Linked DNA regions of Lytechinus pictus. The protein of the gene in region 1 interacts with the protein of each later gene in a pairwise test. Links are inferred from orthologs where the notes say so. Each region holds a gene or a part of one and is shown on either strand. Other genes may lie near its edges.

The links.
Region 2: the proteins of harmonin-like (region 1) and pre-mRNA splicing regulator USH1G-like interact in binary tests that used the Homo sapiens proteins (3 or more experiments, as listed by UniProt). The link is inferred for Lytechinus pictus from reciprocal best matches to the Homo sapiens genes USH1C and USH1G.

Annotation. Positions count from the first base shown.
Region 1 is NC_087253.1:25,235,572-25,244,936, reverse strand, and holds the start of harmonin-like, read right to left. Parts: upstream 3,612-9,365; 5' UTR 3,370-3,611; coding exon 3,292-3,369; intron 2,112-3,291; coding exon 2,044-2,111; intron 1-2,043. UniProt on the Homo sapiens protein: Anchoring/scaffolding protein that is a part of the functional network formed by USH1C, USH1G, CDH23 and MYO7A that mediates mechanotransduction in cochlear hair cells. Required for normal development and maintenance of cochlear hair cell bundles.
Region 2 is NC_087254.1:24,471,311-24,480,875, forward strand, and holds the start of pre-mRNA splicing regulator USH1G-like, read left to right. Parts: upstream 1-5,861; 5' UTR 5,862-6,342; coding exon 6,343-6,506; intron 6,507-9,565. UniProt on the Homo sapiens protein: Plays a role in pre-mRNA splicing by regulating the release and transfer of U4/U6.U5 tri-small nuclear ribonucleoprotein (tri-snRNP) complexes from their assembly site in Cajal bodies to nuclear speckles, thereby contributing to the assembly of the pre-catalytic spliceosome on target pre-mRNAs.

The DNA.
Region 1 (9,365 bases):
AATAGTAGTTATTTACAAATAAAATGTAAATTATATATAAATAATAGTTATTATTTAATAAATAATGATTATATAACAAATAATTGTTCTATATAATATTGGTACATTCGGCGCCTCATAGAATCCCCGTTAAATTACGAGAACTTTTTTAAGCTGAAAAATACCCATTAATTATTCCTGCATTCACACCGCCCTGAAACATACCCTTCGGGATAAGTTCCTGAAGTTACGAGCATGCGCAGTATGGTCTGATAAGCAGCAAGGCGCGAAATTCAAAATCACTAGCCCAGCAGCAACCCATGCACGGCGCCGCACCTAACGACACGCTGGGCTAAAAGTTCCCGTAATTTGCTTTCAGACCGCCAAAATACCCACGACCTTGGAAAAATCCCCGCGAAAGTTCTCGTAATTTCGCCAAGTACCTACTATTTATCGGGTATTTTCTTTCGGGGATATTACGCGTAGTTTGCTTTCACACCGCCAAAATACCTGGTATTTTCTGATCGGGGTAAATTTCCCGATCAGAGAATACCTGGAACTGGCGAACTTCGAGGCGGTCTGAAACCACCTAGAGTAAGATAGTGTAACGTATAAGATAATATAAAGATAAGATAAGACAAGACAAGATAAGTTAGGTTAGATAAGATAGATAAGATAAGATCAGATAAGACAAGGCAAGAAAAGTTAGATGATATAAGAAGAAAAAAATATGCGACAAAATAAGATAAGATAAGGTTGAATAAGATAAAATCAGACTAGATAAGGCGATCAAAGTGTCGACTGAGCAAAAATGTTGTTAAAGGCTCACAAGCAGTCAAAACTTATTTCGTTTTTGTTCCAAATCATATTACTTTGTTAAGGCATGGTTAACGAAGCTGAATTTTGTACATTCTGAAAACGAGTCATAAATGCTCAATGGAATTAATGAGATGTCATTTCATATATTCCGTATTGTTCTCTTAATAAGCATGTCCTTTCTCCACAATGACCTCCACAAACGGCTCACTTTAGATGAATGTTCCCTTTTAGATGACGACGTTAAACAGATTTTAGAAAAGCAATTACGAGAGAGAACAGACGCACTTCAAACTTTGCACATTGAACTTTTATATCTGAAATACATTATCCCATAATAATTATTGTGTTTTTAGCACGACTGCTTTTCGGCTTGAAGCTATCATCGACGATATAAACTGCCTGAATCCTAATAGATTCATCTTTCACCAACCTTACTTTAAATTCCTTTTCTCGACAGTTGGTGATCATCTTAGATTTAGCATGACATTTGTGACGATATCGTGATATTTATTTATTTGTTTTGTTTTATATAGAACTATGGTAATATGAACGACATAGACCCTATATTCTCCCCATATGGCGAGAAAACGATAACTCCTTTTACCGACGAACCTGTTTGAGAGGCCCGTTTCATAAAACTTAATTCATAACAATTATTTGCAGTAATATTTTTAGCTACTCAAATCATTCAATGTGATTGGCAAACTTGTTAGCCTATAGCAATTTTGCATTTGTTATGATAATAAGTCTTAATCAAATGGGCCCCAGACCCCCGATCAAAGTATACCTCTTTTCCAAATTAAATTCGAAATAGTCGCTTTCAAAGATTCAAAAAAAGGGAAATTAATTTTTTGATCTTAAAACATTTTTTATTGATTTATTGATTTGTTTTGTAGGGGGGGGGGGGGGTAGTCAACTGTTTGTGAAGTCGTGAGATTGAGGGACCAGTAAGGAGAAAAAGGGGGTGAACCAAGGCAGCGAGGGGTGCAAGAACATGGTCTTAGGCAACGGGGGCGGCGGGGGTAGCTGCCCCCAGAAGTTTTGAAAATCTACATTTTTTTACTTCAAACTTTCGCAAAATCCACCAAAACTGTGTACAAAATCCTTAATTTTTCACCTTTAAAAATGCAAAGCGCCCCAATAAATAGCTTGGTCGCTTCGTTCCTTCGCTTTCGAGTTTCTTCGAAAAATTGTACGCGTCCTGCCCCTCCCGGAACAATTTCAGTGGCCTTTAAAAATACTTACTGCTTGTATTTTTTTAGTTGTGAGTAAAGCTGGGCCTGGTCTTTCTCGTACTCAAGAGTAGCCCTCACCTGGGTGGATAGAGAGAGATGGATTGAAAACATAATTAAACCACTGACATAAAACAAATTTATGTTCAAACAAAGAAAAAGTATCACGATTCAATTAATTATAAAGTAGTAGTAGAAGTAGTAGTAGTAGCAGTAGTAGTAGTAGTAGTAGTAGTAGTAGTAGTACTAGTAGTACTAGTAGTAGTATAGTAGTAGTAGTAGTAGTAGTAGTAGTAGTAGTAGTAGTAGTAGTAGTAGTAGTAGTAGTAGTAATAGTAAAAAATGACATTATTTGAACAGATAAAGTAAAATCGGACAAACAAAGCACTGAAAATAATCAAAATCGTCTAAGGAATGACATTTTTAAAGTACTTTCAGGCCAACGTGCTCCGCTTATCATCAAATTTACATTACCTTCGCTTAGAAGTACAATGACAAACAATGCGAAAGTATATTTGTATTTAGGATAATACTAATCGAATTAATAACAAATTAGTGATGACTCATCACTAATTTGTTATTAATTCGATTAGTATTATCCTAAATACTGATGAGCTGTCTAAACTTAAAGGAGAACTATATTGATTATGAATGTGGTCTTATTATATGTCAATGGAAAGGTAATGATGTGGGGATTATCAGTGGGTCATTCAAAAATAACGAAAATAATACATAAGGTGAAAATCGCCGATTAAAAAACGCTCAAAATGCCTCTCCGAAATATGCCTCGCATCGGTCTCTGAATTGACTTGAATTTGATGACGTCACTTTCTGTACGAGATGCGTGATTGGCTCTCCCACGTGAAGCTCCACTTGCATGCAAAACCTGTTGCGAGGGTACGGTTTCTCCACACTGTCACTGAATACTTCGATCACGAAATGAAAGAAAACCCAGAATTTTATCTAGATTTGGATTTTCAAATTGATGATTTTGAAGATGAAGAGAATGATGATGAAATGAACAACAAAGTGACGTAGTTGGAGGTAAATTGGGGGAATTACGCCGATGATGATGAGTCGGACAATTCAACTTGCAACATGATCACATGCCGATTCGCTACCTAACTCATGCAGCTGCTAAGTGCTAGCTACACCGCGCGGGCCAAATTGAATTCATGAAAATGAATTACCACACTGTCCAGACAGAGTCTCTTACCTCTGTGACTATGAAGAAGGAAAATAATGATAAAACTGTACTTACAAACAAGTGAATGTAATCCGAACCTGAAGGCAACTCAACGAATAGCAGCAGACGATATGCACCGACGATAAACTTCATGTGGCTGGGATAGATTGTCACTAGATGTAATTTTTATCTCATTAATTTGACAAAATTACGAAACTCGGGGAATTATTTATCTATATAAAAATATAGTAACATCTCGTATTATTTTTTAAATTACGATAAAACCTTTTAAAAGCTCGTATATGTGATCGTATTCAAAATCACAAACATGCCGTATTGCTTGCTCGCCGTGGCTGAGAGAGTAGATCTATGCACGTGTTGCACAGCTCTCAATCAAGCTACGCATGTTGGGGATCTTTTACATCTAATTTTAATTTACCTCAATGTTTTCCTTCAAAAAACGTTTTATCGTAATTTAAAAATTATACGAGATGTTACTATATTTTTATATAGATAAATAATTCCCCGAGTTTCGTAATTTTGTCAAATTAATGAGATAAAAATTACATCTAACAGAACGAGTGACAATCTATCCCAGCCACATGAATTTTATCATCGGTGCATATCGTCTGCTGCTATTCGTTGAGTTGATTTGCCTTCAGGTTCGGATTACATTCACTTATTTGTAAGTACAGTTTTAATCATTATTTTCCTTCTTCATAGTCACAGAAGTAAGAGACTCTGTCTGGACAGTGTGGCAAGTCATTTTCGTGAATTCAATTTGGCACGCGCGGTGTAGCTAGCACTTAGCAGCTGCATGAGTTGGTAGCGAATCGGCATGTGATCGTGTTGCAAGTTGAATTGTCCGACTCCTCATCATCGATTCCCCCAATTTACCCCCAACTACGTCACTTTGTTGTTCACTTCATCATCATTCTCTTCATCTTCAAAATCATCAATTTGAAAATCCAAATCTAGATAAAATTCTGGGTTTTCTTTCATTTCGTGATCGAAGTATTCAGTGACAATGTGGAGAAAACGTACCCTCGCAACAGGTTTTGCATGCAAGTGGAGCTTCACGTGGGAGAGCCAAACACGCCTCTCGTACAGAAAGTGACGTCATAAAAAATCCCCAATTTCGCGGACGTAATTCTGCGTGTTTGAAGCATTTAGAGAGAGAACTTTAAACTATCAATTAACTGAGTTCCATCGGTCTCTATGATAAATGATGTACACCATCGTGTTCTCCTTATTTTCTCCTTTGATTTGATATATGATTCTCCATTTTTACGATTTTCAATATATTTCTCCTTTAAAAGTCATGTCACGCTGTTCAGTTTACAGTCATTTTCAATTATATAATGTACAGCCGGGGGAAGGATTCCAGAATGGCGTTTTTTTTTACAAAGAACCCCCCCCCCCTGAAAATCATGCAAAAACACTGGACCCCACTGGCTTCAAGGAGAGGGGTATTAGAGTAATAACCCCTTATTTTTTTTATATTTTGCTTGTCAAAATAACATCGGACGGGAAGTTCGCATTATGGAGACCTATATTGAAATCTTTGAAGAAAAAATAGGCCTCTGTTTAGGCCCCTCCCTGTAAGAAAAAATGAATCCGCCAGTTTTGGTATACAATTTTGTTTTAGCAACAATGGTTAACCATTAAAAAAATGATAAATATGCCATAAATGGTACACTGTAAAAACTGAGGTGTTAAAACTGACACCAGTTGGTGTTAATAGAGGACCACACCCTGAGGTGTTAAAATTACACCCTAGGGATTGAACATAACACCAAAGGGTGTTGATGTGACAACCAAAGGTGTTGTAACACTGTCAATTTAACACCGGTGAAAAATAACTGGTATGGTCCTCTATGTACACCGGTTAACACGACAGTCTTTGTTGTGTATGTTAGACCAAGCCAGCTGTAGAAGTTGGAGCAGAAATAAGAATGTGCATGAATAAGACCAGACGGATATCATAAAGACTTTGTACAGCATGTTTTTTTTTATCATGGACGTTGTCTTTCCTGAATCCTTTTTCTTATATAATATCCAGTTCAATTCATTATTTCATTGCCATTCAAACACAATACAGGGTAATATAAATCAGATGCAAACTAACAATTGACATTTTAAAGAAAAGCAGTATAAAATAGAACTGATGGAAAGGAAATGGAAATGTTACAATTATATTCTTGACGTTATTTTTATCAAACAAACTTGCACGTTCCCTAGCTCTTATGTAATTTAATATTTATTTGATAACTGAGTGATCTTTTATGTTTATATGAATAACATTATATGAATAACACTATGGGCTATAAAAAAATCAATAAAAACACAGCAACCGTTGTCGCCATAATTGAGTCAAAATTCCACAAAAAATATTGATCGGAAAATGACGAGTTTTACCATTACAAGCCTACTTTGTTTCTCGTGTCTCAAATGCAAATGCCTCTAATGAAATATAATAAAAGTATATGGAAAGAGGCCTATATATCACTAAAACCTCATGATGAAAGCATCAATTTGAATTAAATCACACCTTACTTATTTCATTTTCTTTGTTTTATATTTTTCAGATACTTTTTGCTAATTAGAGCATGACGGCCCATAAAAGTGCATACCATGAAAAAAAAAATTGTACGAAATAAGAAAGCTAGTGTTTGAAAATATAACCAACCACCAGGGGCGGATCTAGAATTTTTGAAAAGGGGGGCTTTTTTATATAGAAAAAAAAAACCTGCCCCAAGAAGGTCTTCATTTCCTAATTATGGTGATTTATGTCACGAAAAATTTGACAAGCAAAACGCAGTCCTCACTTGACTTGCGCATGCACGTTTTGCACTAACAAATATATTTATGGTTCTCAAAAGGGGGCACGGGACATGCACTAATTATAAAATCATTCATTGTTGAATATAAATGAACATTTTCAATTTTCAATCGAAATTTTGTTTATGCGTCATGAGACGAGATTGCTAAAACAACGTACATGATTTGGTATCAAACTTCTACATAAATTTAGTATCAATCCAAAGCATGATTACTAAAATTATTTTTTCCAGTAAAAGAATGAATAATATGCTTATTTTTTAACAAACCGTATTTGAAGTTTCTTACCCTATTATTGAAGTCCTGAGTCACTGCGTGGTCCATTGTAAAATTATCTATATTCCGAATTGTTCTCTTTTGTGAATACAACAGCTTTACGTTTCCGAATGAATTGATCTGAATGAGAACAATGTCTCCCGTGTAAATACGGCTATTGATATCATACAACTCAAACGGTCGGTGATATATTGCATTTAACTGACGTGGAATGATATTTGTAGATTTCTGGCACAGGTGTCCCCCCTACCGGAGAGTTCAAAGTGCGAAGTCCTTTTTGTTGGGCGTACGAGGAGAATTATGATTCTGCACATGTCGCTCCTCTTATAACCATCAACATAGCTCTCTCGAAATAATGCGTGCGCTTTCATCTTTCTAAGGCTAATCTTTAGGGAACCCTGCCAGCTGTTTGATTTTGTCATGGAGACGTAATATTATAACTAATGTCAGGGGGGAAATAAATGATGATAATAGGTAAAGAGTCAAGTTATGATAGAATGATGAAAGGGAGGGACATCATTTTTGTCCTTAAAAGAGGGGGAGGGCAAGTGGATGGCAAATAAACTGTTGGGGAAAAGGGTGGATGTTCATGTTTCTTAATTCACTATTTCTTTAGACAATTTGGGGGAGTCAAATGCCCACAATGTCCCCCTCCCCCTACAAGGGGGGGGGGGCGTCAATAAATAAACTCTACAGTATATTTGTTTCACAGTGTGAACAAGTGTTTAAAATCTTAAGCAAGTCGGAGTTTAATTTTTAAAGGTCAAGTTCGCCTCCCAAAAAAATTTAATCTGAATCAAAAAAGAAAAATCAAACAAGCATAACGCTAAAAATTTCATCAAATTCGGATGTAAAATGAGAAAGTTATGGCATTTTATGCACAACCTTACTCAAGGATATGCAAATGAGAGACTGAGTCAATGATGTCCTTGAGTCCTTCCCGGTTTATTTCCAGATCGTCTAATGCCAATTCGTCCAATTGCCAAGTCGTTTACTATCAGTAATCCCACTTACAACATGGTTTACTTTCATTAAGTCTATAATGTCATGCCGCCTAATAACCAGTTGGTCCAATAGCCATTTAGTCTATATATCATTTGGTCTAATTGGACTAAGTGTTAAATTGTGCAAAATGAATGAAAATGAAATGGATATTAGACCGACTGCATGGTTATGAGACGAAATGGTGATTAGACGAAGTGATGATTAGACCAAATGGTTGTTAGACGACGTGTTGATGAACGGAATGCCATTAGACTAAATGAAAGTTGACCATGTGGTGAATGGACGAGTTGACAGTAATAACGAATTGGCAATTTACCATCCCTCACCCCCACTCATTATTTCTTTTGTTTTGTATTGTTTGAATTATACAATATTTCTATTTTGGCAGATTTGACAATAAGGACCTACTTGACTTAAGACAATGACAATTCATCATGTTCAGAGAGGAATAACAATTTGTAATACTGGACAAGGAGGAGAAACTTAGAATATTTCACATTTCATATAGGCCTATAGTAAAAATGACGTCAACTCATGAAATTAGATTGGCAATGTGAATGTGTGCACCGATAATCAGTTGCCTGGCCAGAATACTCCCTAGGCAGTGGAGATGGTGCATTTTATATGTGGGACAGTGTTGGATCCTATGACCGGGTTTATAATAATTACAATGTAAAGCGCTTAGAAACCAACGTATGAAGCGCTATTAAGTAAGTAGGCCTATTATTCACGATTAATCTTTAAAAAAAAGTTACACAACTGCTGCAAAGTTCTTGTAGCAAACAGCCTTTTACAGAAAGGAATTCAAAGGTCTAGAAAATATGGGATATTTAGCATGTTTAGGGTAAATGTGTAATCTGACCCGAAATCTATCCCTATCTAAGTGAAGTAGGCAAGGAGGGACGCTCGTATATTTTGCTGGGGAAGGGATGGGGCAGTTGCGATTTGGCCATTCTCATCATAATGATGGCGCTGTTCTTCTCATGAAAATAATAACGATCAAGCTTTTGAGTTTATAAATCATCACAAATTTCCCTTAAAGGGATAGTCCAGGCTGGAAATATTTATATCTCAATAAATTGAGTAAAATTCACAAAGCAAATTCTAAAAATTTGATCAAAATTAACAAATACCGAAGTTATTGAATTTTAAAGATTTGCATTATTCCGGTGAAACAGTTCTAGGCATGTCTTCATGAATATTCATTAGGTGGATTGATGTTGTCATATCCCCACTTGTTCTTTTGTATTTTATTATATGAAATTAGGTTTATTCAAAACTTTTCTACCAAGAACTGAAACAATAGGATTGACAACTGATCTATAGTGCATTAGTTATTTATTGCCGCAACTTATTTCATCATAATGGAGACACATCATTTACACATGCATGAAAAAAATGAAACAATTCTGATTTCATGTAATAACATAAGAAAAAAGGAAAGTGGGGATATGTCATCATCAGCCCACCTAATGAATATTCAGGACGATGTGCTCATAACTGTTTTCACAAAATATTGATAAATTGAAAAATCCAATAAATTCGTTATTTGTTATCCGATTTTGATGAAAATTTTCAGCATTTTGCTTTTTGAATTTTTACTATATTTATATAAATATTTTCAGCCCGGACCATCCCTTTAAACCAAATTAATTATCTTTCTTTTATAAAATATTATACTTTCTGATCGAGATTTCAATCGTTCATGAATTCTGATTTCTTTTTTGTCTTGATTATCTAATTCATTTCTTTTTTGTCTTGATAATCTAATTCATTATTCAGTTGGGGCAATGTCGCTGAATTTCGGATGATTTAAAAAAGATTATGCTCTAATTCCTCTTATCTGGTTTTCACCTTTTGTCTCAGTCTTAATTACTTAGAAAAAAAAAAACATCGGGGCGGTCGTGGCCACCTTAGTTTACAAAAAAGTGCAACTCTGTCACTCCAATCCTTTTCTATTCTTTTCCTTTGTAATTTTTGTTTATGATTTTTTTTTATACCCATGTACTATTCTTGCCGCTCAGGAG
Region 2 (9,565 bases), on another chromosome or scaffold:
CAGAAAAAGGATCGCAATAGTTTAAAAAATGCCTTTGACAACCGTAATCCGCACTATTTGTTTTGTCGTGTTGTTTTAGGCCTATATCATAAAGTAAATCGGTCAGCTTACATCATGACCATATTGAGTTCCGTATAAAACTTTCGTATGGAATTATCTGATATTATACACAAAACCAGTCATTTTACCAATTTAATCAAAGCAAGACTTTTTCGCAAAAGTCGTTCGACTATTACTATTTATTCTTAGTTTTAAGCATTTATTTTTTCGTGTTTTATTTATTATAAATGATAACTCGAATAAGGGGGAGGGTAGTCCGGTTCGGTTATAAAAACTGTTTTACAACGGAGCCCTCCACCTGAATCTTGTATAAGCTTTGTTTTCTGGGACAATGTTTATATTGTTACCAGAGTAACAGTTTTCCTTATAATATAAATGCCACTAAACATGTAGCATCTAATCAGAAACTTGAATATTTGGTTACATTGGACATTATCTCGCGTTCCTCTCGACTAATTTATTAAATATTATTTGTTACACGCAAACTTAGGCATCGCTAGTTGACCGCTTTCAATATGGGAGTTGTCAGATTTCATAACCATCTTGTATCTTAATATTCCCGAGCAACCCTAGGGAGTGCGGGAATATTATACTGTTACCATTGCCCTGAGAACGATTTTTTTTCAGTGGGGGTGCTGAAATGGGCTGAAATCTCAAGGGTTGAGGAGGCACAATTGAGTTTTCCATTTACACATGCAAGGGCACCCCTCCCCCCACAAACACACCTTCACACCCTTCTTAGCTTTATTGTTGTAAAAGAACATATAAATATAATCAAATAGTGCGACCGAGAAGCGCGAGCTAATTTTTTTTTTATATTTCATGTATTTTGTCCTTGAAATTGAACATTTTGTGCAATGTTAATCATCCTGAACAAGATGCTTATGTAACTGCGAGCGCGATCAAAAATTGTTAATGTATGTTCTGGCCAGATCGAAAAGGGACCTGTTATAAGGACTGTTTGCAGTTACCCTTGAAGGCGATAAATATTCAAACAATTAAATATTGCGAGCTAAGTGAAAATTTCATGTATTTTTGTCCAGTGGGGGGGGGGGGTGCAAGCTGCCCCCCTGGCGTAGTTCACCGGAAAAATAAAAAACCGGGAAAAGGAAAAAAGGGGGAGAAAGAAAGAAATGGAAAGGGAAAGGAAATGAAAAAAAGAGAAGAGAAAAAAGGGGGAAAAGGAAAGGGAATAGAAAACTAATAAAAAAAAATAAAAAGGTAAAACGGGAAAAGGAAGGAAAGAAGAAAATGTGAGAAAGAACAATTCTCCCCGATATACAAATACATTAGCATGATTAGTAAGACGGAAATAAATTAAAGATGACAAAAAGGCAAACAAAATCGGGAAATGAAGGTCGAATGGAATGAGACAAAATCTTATTGGAAAATAAAGAAAGGGACAAGATAACACTACCGGGCTGCCGAGGATCGAAGATAACGAGCGGGCAGAAAGATGGATGGTATTTTTGTTGTATGAAAGTCGATCATAAACTTGCTAAATCTCCAAAGCTACCGGGGGCTCTGTCCAAGACCCCGTGCAGTGGGGGCTCTTCATCTGTAACATTTAAAGGGCTCTATAACGGGCCCCTGTATGGACCCTTCCTGCATTAAGCTTTACGTTGAAGCAGTGGCGTACCGGGGGGGGGGTGGTTCCACAGCCAAGAGGAAATTAAAAAAAATAAAGGAGGCAGCCAATTGAGATGAATGAAAAAAAATTATAATTGACATATTTGCTATGATGTAAAAATCTATCACATAATTATAATTTCATTTCAAAAGGCCATTTTCTTTCTGGCCCGCTTTGCTCGCTGGCGACATTTTACAAATTTTCCCACATTTGCTAAGGTGTGCCCCATCAAAATATTTGGATGATTGCGGTACACAACTGCATTGAATTTATGTGTTGTGTAAAAGCTATATTTGATTAAAATTAGTGGCCATCTGTAAGGTTTAAAATGGCTTTAATATCAAGAAGTTCCGGGGCTCCGCCCCGGATCCCACCCACACAGCACTGTTGTATAGATGAGTTTGGACCATGGCCCCCAAAAGTTCTCCAACCAAACAAATAAGAAAAGAGGAAAGAAAGAAAAGCAAACGAAAAGTGTACTATATTTTTCTGAATATCACGTCAAAATCTGTCTTCATGTTAGATTCTCATGAAAAGGTGATTTTTTATCTTGCTCGCTTTGCTCGCTAGGGACTTATATTAAGCTACTTCTTGCCACACGAGCCATACTGGGCCCCCTTGAGCACATAGAGCTTCGCCCTGATGCGCACAATCATAACAAAAATCCTGTTCACCGTGGCGTACAAAAAAAGAGAGAAGGGTGAAATATTATATAATCTTTTTAACATAATGTCAAAATGTATCACAAAATTTGATTTTTGTAATAAAAATGTCAACATTTTTGCTCGCTCGCTTCGCTCGCTCGCATTTTTTTCCCCCGATACATCATATCGCCCCCTCAAAATTTTTGCCTCATGACGCCATTACCTGTTCCATGATTATGACCGGGAAATTTTTTGGCTCTTAAATAAGTATTATATCAAATATAATCTAATAGTGAATTGTAATTATCAATAAATCAAAGTACAAATTGGCAATATTTATAAATAATTGAAAAGTGAAGTGTACTTATCTAGTAATAAAGAAATATACATTGTTGTTATTTAAAGAAAAAAGGAAAATGATTCGTTATCATTTACATCGATGAAGCATGAATCATTGTTATGCATAAATAACTGACATAAGTGAAGAGTTGTTTATATAGAACAATGTACACCCGCTTTAATAATCTTGTCTTCTTACCTAAACAAGCCGGCATGCCGAGTCCCAACATTTCGTTATCCTGTCTTCTTGTCACAAACAAGCCGGCAAGCCGAGTTTCATCAACTCGCCATCATGTCTTCTTGTCACAAACAAGCCGTCATGCCGATTTCCGACATTTCGTCATCCCGTCTTCTTGTCACAAACAAGCCGGCATGCCGAGTTTCAACAACTCGTCATCTCGTCTTCTGGGGGCACTTTTAAGCTTCCGTACAAACAAGCCAGCATGCCGAGTTCCAACAACTCGTCATCTTGTCACAAACAAGCCGGCACGCCGCGTTCCAAAAACTCGTCATCTTGTCTTCTTGTCACAAACAAGCCGGCATGCCGACTTTCATCAACTCGTCATCTTGTCCTCTTGTCACAAACAAGTCAGCATGCTGAGTTCCAACAACTCGCCATCTTGTATTCTTGTCACAAACATGCTGGCATGCCGAGTTCCAACAACTCGTCATCTTGTCCTCTTGTCACAAACAAGCTGGCATGCCGCGTTTCAACAACTCGTCATCTTGTCTTCTTGTCTCAAACAAGCCAGCATGCCGAGTTCCAATATTTCGTCATCCCGTCTTCTTATCAAAAACAAGTCAGCATGCTGAGTTCCAACAACTCGCCATCTTGTATTCTTGTCACAAACAAGCTGGCATGCCGAGTTCCAACAACTCGTCATCTTGTCCTCTTGTCACAAACAAGCCGGCATGCCGCGTTCCAACAACTCGTCATCTTGTCCTCTTGTCACAAACAAGCCGGCATGCCGACTTTCATCAACTCGCCACCTTGTATTCTTGTCACAAACAAGCCGGCATGATGAGATTCAACAACTCGTCATCTTGTCTTCTTGTCACAAATCAAGCAGACATGCCGCGTTTCAACAACTCGTCATCTTGTCTTCTTGTCACAAACAAGTCAGCATGCCGAGTTCCAACAACTCGTCATCTTGTCCCCTTGTCACAAACAAGCCGGCATGCTGAGATTCAACAACTCGTCATCCTGTCTTCTTGTCACAAACAAGCCGGAATGCCGACTTTCATCAACTCGCCATCTATTCTTGTCACAAACAAGCTGGCATGCTGAGATTCAACAACTCGTCATCCCGTCTTCTTGTCACAAACAAGCTGGCATGCCGCGTTTCAACAACTCGTCATCTTGTATTTTTGTCTGAAACAAGCCGGAATGCCGACTTTCATTAACTTGCCATCTTGTCTTCTTGTCCAAAACAAGTCGACATGCCGGCATGGGTCATCTCATCTTCTCATCTCGTCTTCTGGAGGCACCTTTAAGCTTCCGTAGGTTGGCACTTATAAGGTTCCGTATAAGTCGGACTTCGTCAAGCCCATATAACGTCGAACTATTTTGGCGATAATTCGATGAATTTATTATTAGTATCACATAATTTTGTTAGTACATATTTACGTGATTGTACGGATTCAGATCTTCGTAGGGGAAGTTATTTTGTTAATGGTATTATCGTAGCCCTAAAACATCGTAGGAGCATCGTATGGTCATTCCAAGGGTATCGTACAATGAATGGGCATCGTAAGATCGGCGCAAGTGCATGGTATATATTGTAAAGACATCCTCCTACGATCAACACAGTGGTATTGCGATCTCCGTACGGCCTCTGCATGGCTTTGTCTTTGGCATTCTACGATCGATGCCCATCACATGAAATTGTACGATATACACAAACAATCGTAGCACATAGCCAACCCTAATGCCGCCTACAAATCGTAGACTGATCCATCGTACGATCATAGGGTTATTCAGTTTCAATTTTAGACCATTATTCATTCTTGGCTTGAAATTAAGTTGTGATTATGTTACAAATCACTTCAAATGGAAAATTAAGTATAAATCATTTCATAAGAATAAGCCCAAAAAAATAAAATTCCATTAATTTCCAAAATACGAGTGATCGCGTCCATGAAAATATAACATTTTATTTTTCTTGTTTGCCCCTTCTTTTATCTACCCACACTTCCCCTTATCTCATCTGCCCCCCTCTCTACCCCCTCTCTCTTTTGTTGCTAGCCCCATGTACGCCATTGCAATCCGGAATGGGGGGGGGGGGTGTTTCATGCCAAACAGGGAAATAATCCCAGAGCCCCGTCTAACAAAGAGTTGCGATTGATCTGATCGATCGCAACTATGGACGGCCAGCAACGTCAACATCTATTATGAATATTTGTTCAAAATATCTTCTAGCTATGATTTATATTCATGCATTCATCGTTGTCTTGAAAATTCAGTGTAGTGTGCTTCTCTGTGTTCACAAAGGACATTGTGCACATTTCCTGTAGAAAAAATTATGACACTGAGGGATTTCCATAGAGTGACGATTAGTTGGATCAATCGTAACTCTTTGTAACTCTTTGTAAGACGCCTATATCCCGGTAAATCAAAATCATTAATTCTTCCAACAATTAAAGGGGAAGTTTATCCTGATGAAAAGTTTGTTGTAAAAATAGCAGAAAAAAATATTGGAGAAGGTTTGAGGAAGATACATTACAGATTAAGAAGGATATTAGAATTTTAAGTTTTGGATTTGTGACGTCATAAACGAGCAGCTGCCCATATGTTATGTAATATAAAATGCATGATGATTTTTTAATGGTTCGTGATGACTCATTTTTGTTTTCGTCTTAGAAACTGCCGGGTATGAAATGATTTGACTATTGTTATAAGGTACAGTAAAAACCCATTTTCAATTTTTTTCTTTTTAATTGACATTTCATTGATTTTTTACCATACGATATGTTGGAAATCTGCTCGCATAATCATTTTTTTTAATTCCATGATGTATTCTTCTCAAACCTTCGGCAATATTTTGTTCTATTATTATTTCTGCTATTTTTACAATATACTTTTTGTCATGGTGAACTTCCCCTTTAAATAACCTAGAACTATTCTCATGTCAAAGTGCTGTTTGAATTGATTAACTCTAGATGATGTATATATATATATGTCAATTTATATTCTGTTTTGGAATATACTTGCGCGGAAGATAGAAGAGTGTTAATTCAACTTGAGATGGGGGCGAAGTCTACCTGAGCAACGCCCACAGTTGTCGTACACTTCAGATTCATCGATCGGCCACACTTCAGCAAAATTCATATTTAATCTGGGTAAAGTGTGCGTATAGATACGAGCTGGGACGATAATCATTAGGCTGGTAGACGAAGTCCCGTTGTTTTGTGATACAAGTTATATTCTTTTGCCGTCATTGTATGCGGCATTCTCTAGTATACTTGACGTTCTCCAGTAGTCATATATTACTAAACAATCATTACCGATACCGAGCTCAATAACATGTTATTATCAATGGACTTGTTCATTTAAAACTCAATCTAGACTCTTCCATGTCCTGCTTCTGACATATGAAAAGTGAATCGGGAACAAGGACACATCTAACAGGAATTGAGAACCTCTTCAAGTATTAACTATTGTTCTAGACCATGACGACGAAGTTTCACGAAGCCGCAAAAGAGGGGCACCTGGACCCACTCCGCGAGGCCACTAAACGGGACTGCAACCGGACAGATGAGTCCGGGAGGACCCCAACATTATGGGCTGCGACTAATGGTCACATAGATGCACTTAGGTTGATTGTTAGCAGAGGGTAGGTTTTTGTAATATATGCGTATGTATATATGGGGGCAATTGGGGCATGGGTTTTTGGCGTATTTTGAAAAATAAGGGTCAGTGGTTTAATACTGGAGGGAGAGCAAGCCACCCTTATCATTTGCCTAAATTTTCTCTTTACCATTACTAATGGTGGAGTTCTAGATCAGTAACACATTACATAAAATTACATAAAACTTGTAATAACAAAAACTACTGAAATCCTTCAATGTGAGTGGCTGACCGGGGTGGCTGATAGATTAAAGAAATTGTGCATATGTTATGTACATGTCAATCCCATAGCTTGACTGAATTTTTACACCCGATTCTGATTAAAAACAAATCATGTTGTTATATATAACTGCTCCGCGAACATCTAAATTATCATTTTTGTAACGCAATGTGATTCATTGAAGAACACCTTCATTTATCATTAAATCATGTGATACTTCCATTGAATAGAATATAAAAGTAATAATGTGTGACGTCATCGACTCATTTATTAAAAAACAAAAAAGCTTGATATGTCTTGTCTGACTTTACATGCGATTTAGATGAAATACCTATGTTACGCTAGTTTAGTTTTTATTCTGTATTTAAATATCTGATGACGTGTACTTGGCCTTGAATCATATTTAGTATTTTGAAAGTCCACGATAAATTAATTATGGGCCTATTATAGAAATTTGATAGGGGGAGAACGACCTATAAATGTGGGGGGTTTTAAATAATACAGGTTTTATTTATAGTGTTATTTCTTTCTTCCTTTCTCTTCCTCTTTGTAAAAATCCTATGTCTCTTTCCAGTTCTTAAAAAATTATTGTTAGGTGGTCACCCCTTGCTCCCATCCGGTCTGAAAAGTGCTGAATCCTGCGAGCGTGCTATACTGTTGCATGATCTGTTTTATGCTTCTTTGCCGGGAATGCACAGGTTTTCCCTTTAAGCAGCAAACATTGCCTTCTAGCTTTAGAGAATTGAATTCTACACATGTTCCTTTGTTTGTACTTTAATCGATGCAGTCCACATCAACAAATTGCACGGGCTCAATATCTGATATTCTATACTTATGAATGAGTTGTTTTGACGCGATTTATTTAAGTACGAACCCAATCTGGCAAAGCCCCGGGGGGAGGGGGGGGCACTCAACCAAAAAAGTGGTAGGGGTGTGCCGCGGGCGAGACAAAAAACGGGGGCCTTGGAGCGGGCTTATTGTAAAAAGGAGGGTCCTCGGAACGGGCTTCGGAACTACAAATGTTTGTGAGAACGGGGGTCCTTGGAACGGATCGCCAGCGTGTGCTGGAACGGGCATGCGTGCATGATGCAGCTAGCGCGGCCTCCGCCGGGTGCGCTCGCGCAGAGGCGATGGTCGGACAGCGCTCTGCCGCCGCTTTTCATCCAAATTGCAGCTCCTTGTAGCAGATCAATGCGACCGGAACGGCGTAACGAAAAATAAGTGAAGCTTTGGAGCGGATTTCTTTCTTCTTTTTCCTCGATAAGAAGAAAATGCTATGCTTTGGAGCGGCTTTCTTTGTTCTTTTTCTCAATAAGACAAAAATGCTATGCCTTGGAATGGAAATTTGAGTGTAAAAATGGGGGTCCCCTCCGCGGCACATACCCACTATGCATTATATACTGAGTGCCCCCCCCCCCCCGGGGGGCAAAGCACTCGTAGTGGCCTTGTCAAAGCAAATTATAGGAAACATTTCAGAGAATCGATACAAACTGTATAGTCTGTATACTTTTAGGAGCACCAACAATAAAAAAAGATAAAGGACAAATTAGTTAAAAATCGAATCGTTTCTAAACAAGATATTGGATTCTCCGAATTTTTTTTTATAGTTATCGTTTTGGCGAATATTTAACTACAGTGGCGATTTCATATACCATCAGTGGACGTGCGGGTGAAAATATGTCTAACCGAAACCATAAAATGATCAAATTGAAAAAATCATGTGAATTTAATGCAAATATAGCGTCTATGAGAATTGTGTTTGACTTTGAGAATGTTTTGGTTGGACAATCATTTTGTTTTGTTGAATCTTTTTTTCAAAAGTTATACGACATAAGTAGTTCTCATGTGTGCATACAATCACTGGTGGAAAGTGAGTGTCACCTATTTTATTGTTTTATTTCATTTATTCAAGTGAGTCGATTTATTCATATACATGTATAATAAGCCCACATCAGAACATAGCATTACTTGTAAAATTTAAACTTCTTAATAAAAAATTGTCAGGCTCATTTTCAACTGAAGAAAAAAATAGAGAAACGAGTCATGAATTAGTTAAAAATATACGCGGTGATTTATAGGGGTATATTAATACTGAATCACAGTTAGATCTAAACGTATATTAGAAACAAAGAAAGAAATAGTTGAAATAACCATGAAACGGAAAAAAAAGGGATGGTGAATATTTTGAAGAGAACCTGTAGCTATCACAAACTTACCTAAGAATACTATTAAGATTATTAGGGCCTATAGATTATATTCTTATATCATAATGGATATGTCAAGATACGTTTTGAAAACAAACTTAATTGTTATATGCTCCCCTCTAATACAATATGTATAAAAAGTTTTAAAAAAGAGAGTGTTTATAGAGCCGTGCATGAACCTGCAATAAAATTTAGAGCATTTATGTATATTCTCAATATACTTCAAAGTTACATATAGAAAAATTGGTATTACATCAAAATAATTTTTCGCAGGAATATCATAAGCTTTTGAAAACTTAAACTATTTCTACTTCTTTGCCCTATTTCATTCTTTCAGAAAAACATAAGATAAGAATTTTATTTGCTTTAGCATGTTCAATAAGCACCCAGCGTGATATATTTATTTTTAAAAGTACAACAAAATTCATATCTGTTAATGCATAATCATCCACTATATAAGTGTAGATCATGATAACCAAAGTCAATAATATATTTTTATAGTTATATGAAACGTGAACATGGTAAGAGATTGCGATTTTATTTGTTTTTTGTTTTTTTATTTGTTTTTATAGGTAACCACCAATAAGCTTTATGTTAAACTTTAGTCTTTACACTCATTGC